2 linked regions of the Arabidopsis thaliana genome follow. The protein of the gene in region 2 interacts with the protein of the main gene of each other region in a pairwise test. Each region holds a gene or a part of one and is shown on either strand. Other genes may lie near its edges.

Region 1 (6,854 bases), on a different chromosome or scaffold from region 2:
TTTTCAAACACATTGTTTATTTTATGCGTTATTTATTGTTTAGTATACATGATGATTCAGGACATGAGTGTTGGAACGTCGTGGAACATCTTGAGACCAGAAACTGTCGAATCACTGTTTTACCTCTGGCGGTTAACTGGAAACAAGACATATCAAGAGTGGGGATGGAATATATTTGAAGCATTTGAGAAGAACTCGCGCATAGAGTCTGGATATGTTGGTTTGAAGGATGTAAGTTTTCCGTAGGCGCTTAATTAGATCCTGCATTGTTAAAACCTTGGTGAATTGAATTATATCATTCCACCATCTATATTAGTAATTGAGTGTAACTGATGGTAGATTCTTATTTCTTTCAATCATTTCCAGGTTAATACAGGCGTTAAGGACAACAAGATGCAAAGTTTCTTCCTTGCAGAGACACTCAAGTATCTCTATCTACTCTTCTCGCCGACAACAGTCATTCCTTTAGACGAGTGGGTATTCAACACCGAAGCTCATCCACTTAAGATTAAGTCTCGAAACGATCAGGTAAATCTCAAACAATCCAACAAAGTACTGCTACGAAAACCGGCATTTAGAATACGCCAGAGGCATTATGGTCGGATAACAAAGAAGTAAAACTCCCTGGAGAGGTCACAGTGTGATTCGTAGGAGGGGCTCTATGGATATATCTTAACAGAGCAATTGGATTTAGCTTGGCTATTCAAAGACCCTTTTATTTAAGAAACCATTTTTGGAAAGATTTCAAGATATAGACTATTGTTGTACTAGTTGGGATCAGAACCCAAACAGGTTCACCACAGTTTACACCTTGTGTTTTGTATCCTTACTCCTTAGATTATAAATTAAGAGTATTATCTTCTGTTTTGTATTCGACAAAAGATCAATGTATAAAAGTTTATATAAAAGACTGCAACAATGCAGAAGAAATGTAATGGAAGCAACCAAGAAAAGAAGAAGAAGCAATTTGCAATGAGACCAAGTCTCTGAAAAGACATTAGTGTTGACTAAATCTCCACGTCACACCAAAAGGAAGACGAATGACTTGGCGGCTAGTGTAATAGTTTTAAAAATGACCACATAATCTCACCAGCCTCAAAACCTCACGACACGTCATTCTCTCCAATTCTACAAACACCATTCATTTCATTTCCCTAAAAAATTATGGCTCATGTAAGTTTCTTTGATGTGTGAACTGTGGAAGAGACTACTCTCATCAACCATGAACCATAAAAACTCCACCGCTCTTTCTCTCCCTCAATCATTTACATCTCTTCCTTAAATCTCTCTTCCCACCATCATCATTCCAAACCAATTCTCTCTCACTTCTTTCTGGTGATCAGAGAGATCGACTCAATGGTGAGCTTTTGCGAGCTTTGTGGTGCCGAAGCTGATCTCCATTGTGCCGCGGACTCTGCCTTCCTCTGCCGTTCTTGTGACGCTAAGTTCCATGCCTCAAATTTTCTCTTCGCTCGTCATTTCCGGCGTGTCATCTGCCCAAATTGCAAATCTCTTACTCAAAATTTCGTTTCTGGTCCTCTTCTTCCTTGGCCTCCACGAACAACATGTTGTTCAGAATCGTCGTCTTCTTCTTGCTGCTCGTCTCTTGACTGTGTCTCAAGCTCCGAGCTATCGTCAACGACGCGTGACGTAAACAGAGCGCGAGGGAGGGAAAACAGAGTGAATGCCAAGGCCGTTGCGGTTACGGTGGCGGATGGCATTTTTGTAAATTGGTGTGGTAAGTTAGGACTAAACAGGGATTTAACAAACGCTGTCGTTTCATATGCGTCTTTGGCTTTGGCTGTGGAGACGAGGCCAAGAGCGACGAAGAGAGTGTTCTTAGCGGCGGCGTTTTGGTTCGGCGTTAAGAACACGACGACGTGGCAGAATTTAAAGAAAGTAGAAGATGTGACTGGAGTTTCAGCTGGGATGATTCGAGCGGTTGAAAGCAAATTGGCGCGTGCAATGACGCAGCAGCTTAGACGGTGGCGCGTGGATTCGGAGGAAGGATGGGCTGAAAACGACAACGTTTGAGAAATATTATTGACATGGGTCCCGCATTATGCAAATTAGGACATTTAGTGTTTAGTGCCTTAATTATAGTTTGTGTCATTGATCTGTTTGATCTTTCTTTTCAACGTAAACTAAAAATGGTCTGAACCAATTGAGATGATAGATATTTCTTTAGAGGAGATTTAATTTTTTTAATCAACAGTAAGAAGATTTTAGAAACGGAATAATGGTAATCCAATAGTCATTATCAGGTTCTTTTGAGATGAAATTGAAATCTTTTCTTTCCCAATTTTTTTAAACAAAGATAATTTCTTAGAATATTATGTTATTATCAATAAAAATTGTAAATTGAAAAGAAACTGATTTTCTTATTTCAAGGAAAATTCGTTATTATCAACATCAAAACAAAACAAAAGAGAATAGAAAATACATCAAAAGTAATTCCTAAGGACAAAAGTAATCGTAATCCAACTATAAAAAAAAAGCCAAAAGAAAAAGAAAAACCCTTATATGTATGTGTGTGTTATACAAACCCTACTCTGGAAAAGTCCTAATTCCTAAAGCTACTTTCAACAAAGACGCCTGAAGCATCTGCCTATAGTGAAAGATCAGAAGACTCTTCAACCAAAATCTTATTCTCATCCACCATGGAAGCTCTCTTCACTTCAACACACACACCCAATTTACAGACTAAGCCTCTCCTCAAATCTCCGCTGCCCACTTCTTCCCAGTCTTCGTGTTGGTTTTGTAATTCGCTACCCAAAACGCAATTCCCGAAGCTGAGACTCAGTAATGGATCAAGTCACGGGCTTCGTATACAAGCTCTCTTACGTAACGAGACGCCAAGTGAAGGTGAAGATAATAATGGGTTTGGTTTTTTTCCTGGGGATATCTTCTCTTTATCACAGGTACTTTTTCTCTTGTCTTGTGATGAATAAATTCAACTAAAGATTATAACTTTTGTTTTGGGTATGCAAAAATTCAGCAAAAGATTACAATTTTGGACACAAAACTTTGGTTTTGATGCAGAGTTTGTGTAGAATCGAATCTTAGATTAGCGGAAAGATGATACCACGTAATGGTTTGCTTTGACATAGAGATTAATAGCTTGTAATGTTGTGTGAAGGAAAAGCTCGGGAGTAATAGCAATGGTGAAACTTCTCATAGTGTAATCGATGTGGAGGCATCTCTTGCACATCCTCAAGGTGGTGGAGGAAATCGAGCTGGGCTTTTTAGAACTCCAATATCTGGTGGTGTTCAAAATGCTACATCAGCTCATGCTTTACCTCGGCCTGCTTTAGCTGTACGGAACTTGTTGGAACAGGTAAAAGGGTTTGTCCTTTAGATGGTTTGTATTCTTCCTTTTTTACTTCAATGAGAAAAGATTATTTAAGTTCTTTATCTGTCTTGTCTTGTGTTTTTATGATTCAAGGCTAGGTTTGCTCATCTGTGCACAGTGATGTCCAAAATGCACCACCGCAGGGAAGGGTACCCATTTGGCTCATTGGTAGATTTTGCACCTGATCGGATGGGGCGTAAGTCACTGAGTCTTTCTTTCTTTGTTGACTGCTCCTAGTTCTACAGTGTCTTCTTTTGTTGCACGCTCAATTTTTCTCAGAGTATCAGTTTAATTATTTGCTAGTCGACAATTGGTTCTTAGTCATAACTCCTCTAACTGTAAAATTGATTTGATTTTTGTGGGAACGCATAGTAGGAAGTGAAGTCAAAGTTGTTTTTTTCCCTCTTTTCCTTAAATTTCATTAGAGGTGTACATGTAGGAGTGTTTTTGTATCTGTGTATTGAAGGCAATACTGAATTATAATGGTACAGTTAATGTTTTGAGATACAATAGATGCTCATTTCTTGAATGGCTTCTACTTTTTCTTATCAGATCCAATATTTTTGTTTTCACCGCTGGCCATCCACACACGAAATCTCTTGAATGAACCTAGATGCAGCCTCGTTGTTCAGGTAACATTGGCTATTGTGTTTAAATTATACGAGCAAAAGGTTTACCCTTTATGTTATGTAACCGTTGATTTGGCTGGCAGATACCCGGATGGAGTGGCTTATCGAATGCAAGAGTGACATTATTTGGTGATGTGTACCCATTGTCAGAGGATGAACAGGTGGGTGTCTAGTTACATTTTTCCTTTTCTATTTATGGTTGTCGATGCATGAATCTCACCAGCCAAACATCTGTATGTCTGAGTAATGGCTCGTAATATCTCTGGTTGTGGCTTGGTAGGAGTGGGCCCATAAGCAATATATTGCAAAGCACCCGCACGGGCCTTCAGAGCAATGGGGAAACTTTCATTATTTTAGAATGCAGAACATAAGGTTTGTTCCAAAACTTGTGCCTTCCAAGTTACCAATACTTGTCGGATGATTGTTTGTCTCCTATTACTTATCCACTCCACACTCAATGTGACAATTGGCAGTGATATATATTTCATTGGAGGCTTTGGCACGGTCGCTTGGGTTGATGTCAAAGAGTATGAAGGTTTACAACCAGATAAGATAGCTGTTGATGGTGGTGAGCGGAACCTCAAGGTGCGTTGTTTCAAATCCCTGTTGGTCGCCTTAGAGACTCCAATAAACTTGCTCCTCATTCTTGGCCTTTTGTAAGCTGGATTTGATTCGAGTGTGCTCTAACGTATTTTCCCTAAAACTTCTGATAGGAACTAAATGCCATCTTCTCGAAACCGCTGAGAGAGCTACTGTCTACTGAATCAGAGGTAGACGATGCTGCTCTCATTTCAATAGATAGCAAAGGAATAGATGTACGGGTTCGTCAAGGTGCTCAGGTAAAATAACACTGTATTAATTAGTTTTGTCCAGTTGATGTCGACACAATTATGATCATGCACAGTGCTTCTCAGCTTATCTTTCTTTGTTCAATTGTTTGTTTTGTTTTTTTGCAGTTTAACATACAAAGGCTAGCATTTGAGGAAGGTCATGGTGTTGAGACACTAGAAGAAGCTAAGTCTGCATTATGGAAAGTGTTGGAGAAGGTCAAGCTGAATTTGCAGAAATGACAAGCCCCTTTTGCTACTTTATACGGGTCCTTTTAAAATAGTAGGACCAATAAAATGTTGTTTGGTTCCTCTTTTCTTCTTCTTGACTAGCTGAAATTTTGTAGTTTCTTTCTTTTATCTTTTGACCTCCCTTTTGTAGAGTATCAAAATTGGAGGTTTAAAAAACGTCAATCTGGAAATATGGGGTTGATATCTGAGTTTCTAATGAACAATATTAGAGCGTTAATGATATATTTCTGGAAGGTTTCAAGCCGATATTTAAAATCGTTACATAAATTAGTGGGACAATCATAAATCACACTAGCTCTAGTACTTTCCTTTAGCCTCTTAAAAGAAAACTACACTTTTAGATACTTTGTTGGATTTGAACCAAACTTGGAACATAAGTAAGGAGATATGGACATTTAGAATCTGCACTATGCTGATCCACTTGTATGATGTATATATGCTCTCCCACAATGTGTAACATGTTGGACTTGGGTTTGAAGCGATACACGAAAACGGGCTTCTCTTGGTCAGCCAAGACAGTCATCTCATCAATTCTAAAGTGAAAACGATGGGACTTGCTCCATGAAATGGCTCCGGTACTCTCCATCTTAGTTGCTATCCATAACTCAGAGCCATGACTCTTAAACATACAAAGTTGTTGCTCTTCTCTAGTCACTGATAAAGACACATCATAATAAGTACAAGGAGTATCCGTCGGAAGAGACAGACGTCGAAATCCGTCAGTCGAAAAATCAAAACATAATAAGAACATATCAAATGGCGGTCCGTCTTCAGTAAGAGCAAGCCAGTAAGTATTTCCCTTCACAGACAAGCCACGTCTCCGAGTCCCAATACTTGGTATGAACAAGCCTCCAGCCACACCATCAACTAGCCACGATTTAGAGGTAAAGTCATAGACTTGGTACTCAGTTTGAATTGGGATACGGTCCTCAGATCGATCCATCCTCAAGATTTTGTGACATGAGGATGTGTTATCATAACCTAAAGCATAGATGTCTGATACCTTGTAGGAACTTCTAGGTTGGATCCACCTTGTTTCACCTGAACATGGATTCCAAACAACTAATCTATTGTCTTTGGTGCTGCATAGTAATAAGCCGTCGCAGTGAAAGACGTTACGTATATCAACTTCCTCTAAAGAATTTGAAAGAGGATCTTTTAGGCTGAATTGACCTGTTAGCTTTGCAGATAGATCAACCTTTTCAATTCCATATTGGAGACTCACGTTCATTAAATAAACCCTGGAATCAATCAACGTGATAACCAGAGACTGCCTTGGAGCATAAGCAGAGTGCTTCTTAGCAAGTCTCTCGTCCTTAACAAGAGCGTTCCATCGTTTGGATGTAGTTCGTAATCGTGCCAAAGATACAGCCGAAACTCTAGAGAGTATCTCCACTATCAAATCCTCCGAAAGATAAACTGTGTTTCTCTTCTTCATCATCTTTACAGCAGTTCTGTTTTAAGGTTACTTGGGATGGAAGTTTTTAGACCTAAAACCTATACTCACGCACCAAAACGAGTGTCGTTTCTACAGATTTTGTAACAACAATTCATCGTCGTGACCTAAATCAAGGAGACAATGGGTCAAAACCGGTTCTTGGGTTGAAGGCTTGGGCCGAGGATATTTCTAGCTGGACCAAGCTTGACCAAAGTCAATTTTTGGTTTAATACAAGTAAATAAAAAACGTAGAATGAGTTGTGCCAGAGTTAGATTCATTCAGAAACAGAGTGTTGTTCTCAAGGGTCTTCTTTTTTGTCCAATATCAGAGTCAGTCTTCGTTCTTGGTTCTCTCG
Region 2 (6,456 bases):
TAACACGCTTCCTATCTGCTTTTGGTTCGTTTAGACTTTTTTTTTTTTTTTTTTTTTTGCTATCAAGCACTTGCAAAGTTGCAAGGGTGTTTAAATAGGAACCTAACTCACAAAATATTTTTTGTGGTTTTTAATCTGTAGGTAGAATGTGTAAATATTTCTACCTAGAACTATGTGAATATTTAACCCATCTGTATATATTATCTATGTGCGTCACTTTTTCTTTTTTGATGTCGTAAACACAAATGGTAACACTGGTAACAAAATATTGAAAGATAGAAAAAAAAAAAAGTATATAGGATATGATTGGTAATCTCTTATTTGTGTCACTAATCGATTGAATTCTATATTTTTTTCGTATTTATGTGTTGGACACTAAAATTATCAAATATTTAGCAAATTTCCCTGCTGCATTTCGTGAGTTAAAGTATTCCTCCCGCCAATTCAACTTAACCGGTAGTAGCCGGTCACCATTCCAACGACAACCGGTTATAAGAAAGCCATCCCCAAAATTGAAAACATTTTCATCGTCTTCTTAATCAAAAAAAAAAAAAAAAAAAAACTCTGAAGCTTCTTCTTTGATTAATTCTCTCCTGGGGAAAAAAAACCCTAGCTCTTCCTTCTTCTCTCTTCTCTTGAATTATCTGCTTTCGAATTTTTTGAAAAGGGAGAAACTTTTTCATCTGGGTCTCTCTCTCTCCCGAGTTTGGATGAAGTTTATTGAAACCTAGGGTTTTTCTCCGACTTGGTTGTTGATTAGAGATAATGAGTGCAATCAAAATCACCAACGTCGCTGTATTGCATAATCCTGCTCCTTTTGTTAGCCCTTTTCAGTTCGAGATTTCTTACGAGTGTTTGAATTCTCTCAAAGACGGTAAAAATCTCCTCTTTCTCCTTCCCCTGAATTGTAATTCATCTCGACTTTATTTAGGTTTTAGTCTCTGCTGATTCTTATGGATTGTTTTCAACACCAATTTGTTGCTGCTGATTGTAATTGGAACATATTGTTACCTAATTGCTTTGTCAGAGTCATGCTCTAATGGTTTGTTTTCTAATTGATAATCTAGAGTCTTGTTGTCTATTAGTTGGATTTATCTATGCACAAGTTCTTGGTTAACATTGTTATAGGGTGAGGATAACTTAGATAGACCCGTGCTTTTGCTTGTGGTACAGATTTGGAATGGAAGCTTATCTATGTAGGCTCAGCAGAAGATGAGACTTATGATCAACTTCTAGAGAGTGTGCTTGTAGGGCCTGTTAATGTTGGCAACTACCGCTTTGTATTTCAGGTAACATATGCACTACTACCTCTTCCAAGCACCAACAAAGTCTTGGTCTAACTCTCTATTACTACTGTTACAGGCTGATCCTCCGGATCCATCAAAGATTCAGGAGGAAGACATCATCGGTGTTACTGTGCTATTGTTGACATGTTCTTACATGGGTCAAGAGTTCTTGAGAGTTGGATATTACGTGAACAATGATTATGAGGATGAGCAACTCAAGGAAGAGCCTCCAACTAAGGTTTTGATTGATAAAGTTCAGAGGAACATACTTTCCGACAAACCTAGAGTTACTAAATTTCCTATAGATTTTCATCCAGAAGAAGAGCAGACTGCTGCTACTGCCGCTCCTCCTGAACAATCTGATGAACAACAACCTAATGTCAATGGTGAAGCTCAGGTTTTACCTGATCAGTCAGTAGAACCAAAACCTGAGGAATCATGATCCTTATACCAAGTCTAGTTGAAGAAAAGTGGATGAGAATTGAGAACTATTGTCTCCACAGATGTTGCGCTTTGCTTTTCTGTCTTTCAAAAGCATTATATGCTGTTTGTTGTACTTAATTCTAGAGGCTTTAGGGAAGTGATTCTTGACATTTTTGTATGTTTATGTTTTGGGCAAAGGTTTTTTAAATCGAAGCAAAGCCAACAGTTGCCAAACAAGATTCTGAGTTCTGATGGTTGGAATTTGGTAATAGGTGTAGAATAACTTCCCTAGATTTTCTCAAGGTACAAAGCGACATTTGATCTTCATCATTTGTTGAAAAAAGTGCCGTTAAATGGTCATAGTTAGCATTGATGATGATGATTATCATCATCATCAACCATAATTCTTTCACCAAAAAAACATGAGTCCGTGATTTTTTTAGGACCGTTTCACAGTTGTTCTGCCAAAAATATGAGTCCGCATTTATTCACCAAAAAAAAAAAAAAAAAAAAAGTAGTACACATTACAATTTCTCGCCTAACGATTTTACTCTGTGGTAAACCGAAAGATAGTTAAAAACGGCTCCATTTCGATTACTTTGAAAAAAAAAAAATGTTTGTTTTGTTAAAAGAAAATATCTTTTAAAATATTAAAAAATATTTTATTCAAACTTTTATTAATACAGATCTAATTACTAAACTCAATAACATTATAAAAGCCGTGTTCGGCTAAGCCCAGTAAGCCCTATATGTTTTGAATAAATACGATATTTTATAATAAACAGATTGTTGTTTTTAAATACCTAATAATACATAATATATTCCTATACTTGACAATAACGAATAAGAATTATATTACCTATTATTTTGGATTTCGTAAAATTATTTTATATTTTTTTTAGGTAAATGGTAAATTTGTAAAAAATAGCTACTTTGATATTTATATTGTGTATTATTTTCTACTCGATAAGATTAATCATCAATAGTTCGAGGTGGAGGGTTAAATTATCTAGGGTCTGATGATCATGTAGAATCACTTCCTGCAAACAAATCACGAGTGTTAGCATATTTATGCTATCCACAGTATCATATGGCTGTTTCTGATTATTTCATAAATATAAGGTTCGTTTCATAAAACACAAAATCTTACGGGTATAAAATTGAAACCAAAGAATTCAATTTCTTAAAAGTGTTTCACTAGGAGCCCTCGTACTTCCTCGAAGTGTACCGGAGAATCTAAACCCAATGTCGAAATCCGGCGATAATCAACCAGTTGATAGATACCTCCGCCGTCAAATCCTCGGAGAAGGAACATACGGTGTCGTTTACAAAGCCACCGACACAAAGGTAAAATCAAAAACCCTTCCCGATTTCGTTTTCAATTTCATCAAGATTTTCAAACTCAACAATCTTCGATTTTGTGATTTCCTTAGACTGGGAAAACTGTAGCAGTGAAGAAGATAAGATTAGGAAACCAAAAGGAAGGAGTAAATTTCACAGCTTTAAGAGAAATCAAGCTACTAAAAGAGCTGAATCATCCACATATCGTTGAACTCATTGATGCTTTCCCTCACGATGGAAGTTTGCATCTAGTTTTTGAGTATATGCAAACAGATTTAGAAGCAGTGATTCGTGATCGTAATATCTTTTTATCTCCTGGTGATATTAAGTCTTATATGTTGATGACTTTGAAGGGTTTAGCTTATTGTCATAAGAAATGGGTTCTTCACAGGTAAGAAGTTATGCTTAGGTTTATAAAGATTTGATTTTGATTGTGTTGATGGTTTGTTTTTGGTGTGGTTGTTAGGGATATGAAGCCGAATAATTTGTTGATTGGAGAGAATGGTTTGTTGAAGTTGGCTGATTTTGGTTTGGCGAGGTTGTTTGGGAGTCCGAATCGGAGGTTTACTCATCAGGTATTGATGCTATGATTGATACGGTTTTGAGCTTGGTAGCTAGGTTAGTGTAGTTCTTGATGATCTTATTGGATTTATTGGTTAGGTATTTATATAGTTATTGATATTTATGGTTGCATTGGTAGCTAGATTAGTCTGGAGTTTGTAGTAAATATCTTGGTACTTCTTCTTGATGATCTATTTTGAATTTTATGCTCAAAATGAAGAGTCGGTACAGAGTATTGAGAAGATATCATACTTTATGTGTGTTTGGTTTTGGTGAGGTGAAAGATTGTATTGACATTTTTTTACCCTAGAAGATTCTGAGATTGATTAGTTATGAAGAAATCTCTTCTATTTTTTGTTTGAATTGACAGGTAGATTAGTCTTGTTCTTGATGATCTATTGGTTTTTTTTTGCTGGGACAAACTAAGAGTATATATAGTGCATTGAGAAGACATACTATGTTTTTAATTCGAATGCTTGCATACCTATGTTATTGGTTTCGGTTGGTGATTACAAGTTTAAGTTTCCGGATAGCATTTTGTTGATTACGGTCATATTAACATTTTGACTCAAGAAGATTCTGCAATTGATTAGTTCTGTAGAAGTCTCTTTTTGCTGGATATGGAAAAATTGATACAGAGTATTAAGAAGACATCATACGGTTTTAATTTTGATTCTTGCATACCTGTGTTTTTCGATTTTGGTGAGATGAGAGATTGATGGTTCAAAGTCACCAGATACAGTTTTGTTACTTACGGATGTATTAACATTGTTACTTTAGAAAGATTCTGAGATTTATTGGTTGTGTAACTTGTGTAGATATCTCATTTGGTTAGCTATTTGTATCTGCTTGTGGAAGATTCGTTAAGTTTAAATTGGTTATACTTATTCACACAGGTATTTGCTACATGGTACAGAGCGCCTGAGTTACTGTTTGGGAGTCGACAGTATGGAGCAGGAGTTGATGTTTGGGCTGCAGGCTGTATTTTTGCTGAGTTACTACTTCGTAGACCATTTCTTCCGGTAATGCTCTATACCCTTCGTACTTCATGTTTAAAAAGTCTGTAGTTCTCTAAACATTTCCTATACTTTCTTCAGGGTTCTACTGAGATTGATCAACTTGGAAAGATCTTTCAAGCGTTTGGTACTCCAGTACCTTCCCAATGGTCTGACATGATCTATCTCCCAGACTACATGGAATTCTCCTATACACCCGCTCCACCATTACGTACCATTTTCCCTATGGCAAGTGATGACGCTTTGGATCTTCTAGCAAAAATGTTCATCTACGACCCACGTCAAAGGATCACAATACAACAAGCTTTAGACCACAGGTATACTCTTGAAAAAGAAACCCACGGGACAAAAATTCTGTTTCATCACTCTGATTATCATTGGTTTTTTCATCAGGTATTTCTCGTCTTCTCCATCACCAACTGAGCCAGGGAAGCTTCAGATTCCAGCTTCCAAAGGAGACGCACTCGAACCAAAGGCCTCCGAGCAAAACCAACATGGAAATAGCCCAGCGGTACTGTCTCCTCCTGGTAAAATGAGGAGAGTGATGGGTCCTGAAGGATTCACTTGAGAAGATGATGTTTCATTTCTTTTGGAAAATATCAATGGATATGCCCAGAAGATTTCAAAATTAGATTTTTACCATTGATAATTCAATATTAGTTAACTATCAAAGAGAAAAAATTTAAAGCCATAAATGTCCTTCTTAGTTCTTACTTTGTTTAATTTACCAAATATGTCATGTATCAACTATTGTTATAATTTCACTATATATCAACTATCTTACCATATTAATATAAATATTATTCAGATATTTAATATGTTAGCACGTTATATTCAGTATAACATGTTATTATAAAGTTAAATTGATTATTTCATATTAATTTGTATGATATGGTAAATGGTTTAATACGATATATAAAAATTTATCGTGATACTATACTAGTTAACATATTAATCAAATAGTTATATATATTTAGCACGATACTATACTAGTTAACATGTTAATCAAATAGTTATCCACATAAATCATAAATATTTTATGCAATCCAATGATAAATACGACAGTGTCGTAAATTTCGGATGAATAGTGTCTTCAGGCAGTTGATGAACAGTATCATGTCTAAAATATCCGGTAATAAATAGTGTTTTGAGACAATGACATATTTAGTAAATTAAACAAAATGAAAAAGGAAATTTATGATTTTAATTTTTTTCTCTTTCATACTTACCTAATATTAAACTATCTATAATAGATATCTAATTTTCAAGTCTTCCAGGCATATACATTAATATAGCTCTTTCCTTTTTTCCTTTCCTTGACTATAATCACTAATGGAGAGGTATATACAGTAATGACTTTAATTTCTAGAATTGCGTTTCGTAATGCTTTTCTACAAAGTAGTTACCATAAAAAAATATCAAACGAGAAGCCATCTTTTGACCTCATCCATGTCTAATATCTATTGACGTTAAATTCCTTCGAACCTTAAACTGATAAAAAAAAATTATCTTCAATAAACTTAAATTTATGATATAACACTGACCGAAGAAAAAACTAATTTTTCTAAAGAAAACACATTTAATGTTTAATTATAATTGCACTAAATTCTCACTCTAAACATTTTTCCATGACTATGAACCAATAATAATTCAAATATATGTACACGTGAGTGTCTTAATCAGTGGTTGATCATATTCATATTGTCAATTTGTGATTAATATTCATTGGGAAGCAGTGATCTTGTTGTATAGGGACTAGGCTTTCACAATATCTGCAATTTCCACTCCTATTGGCGATCCATACATATTTCATTGGCCCACTAAAAAAA

The links. The genes of interacting proteins can lie anywhere in the genome.
Region 1: the proteins of CAK4 (region 2) and AT3G21140 interact in a protein complementation assay, tested with the Arabidopsis thaliana proteins (one study listed by BioGRID).

What each region holds. Positions count from the first base shown.
Region 1 is NC_003074.8:7,407,893-7,414,746, reverse strand, and holds AT3G21140 (Pyridoxamine 5'-phosphate oxidase family protein), read left to right. Parts: upstream 1-2,289; 5' UTR 2,290-2,660; coding exon 2,661-2,921; intron 2,922-3,139; coding exon 3,140-3,337; intron 3,338-3,445; coding exon 3,446-3,548; intron 3,549-3,904; coding exon 3,905-3,984; intron 3,985-4,064; coding exon 4,065-4,142; intron 4,143-4,261; coding exon 4,262-4,353; intron 4,354-4,454; coding exon 4,455-4,566; intron 4,567-4,694; coding exon 4,695-4,820; intron 4,821-4,937; coding exon 4,938-5,051; 3' UTR 5,052-5,326; downstream 5,327-6,854. Other genes in the region: MNS2 (alpha-mannosidase 2), read left to right, coding at 61-231, 367-618; BBX32 (B-box 32), read left to right, coding at 1,357-2,034; AT3G21130 (F-box and associated interaction domains-containing protein), read right to left, coding at 5,398-6,501.
Region 2 is NC_003070.9:24,891,821-24,898,276, forward strand, and holds CAK4 (CDK-activating kinase 4), read left to right. Parts: upstream 1-2,702; 5' UTR 2,703-2,954; coding exon 2,955-3,056; intron 3,057-3,142; coding exon 3,143-3,441; intron 3,442-3,516; coding exon 3,517-3,625; intron 3,626-4,507; coding exon 4,508-4,633; intron 4,634-4,708; coding exon 4,709-4,944; intron 4,945-5,020; coding exon 5,021-5,195; 3' UTR 5,196-5,439; downstream 5,440-6,456. Other genes in the region: LIG6 (DNA LIGASE 6), read left to right, coding at 1-3; SGA2 (ASF1 like histone chaperone), read left to right, coding at 766-874, 1,174-1,289, 1,363-1,728.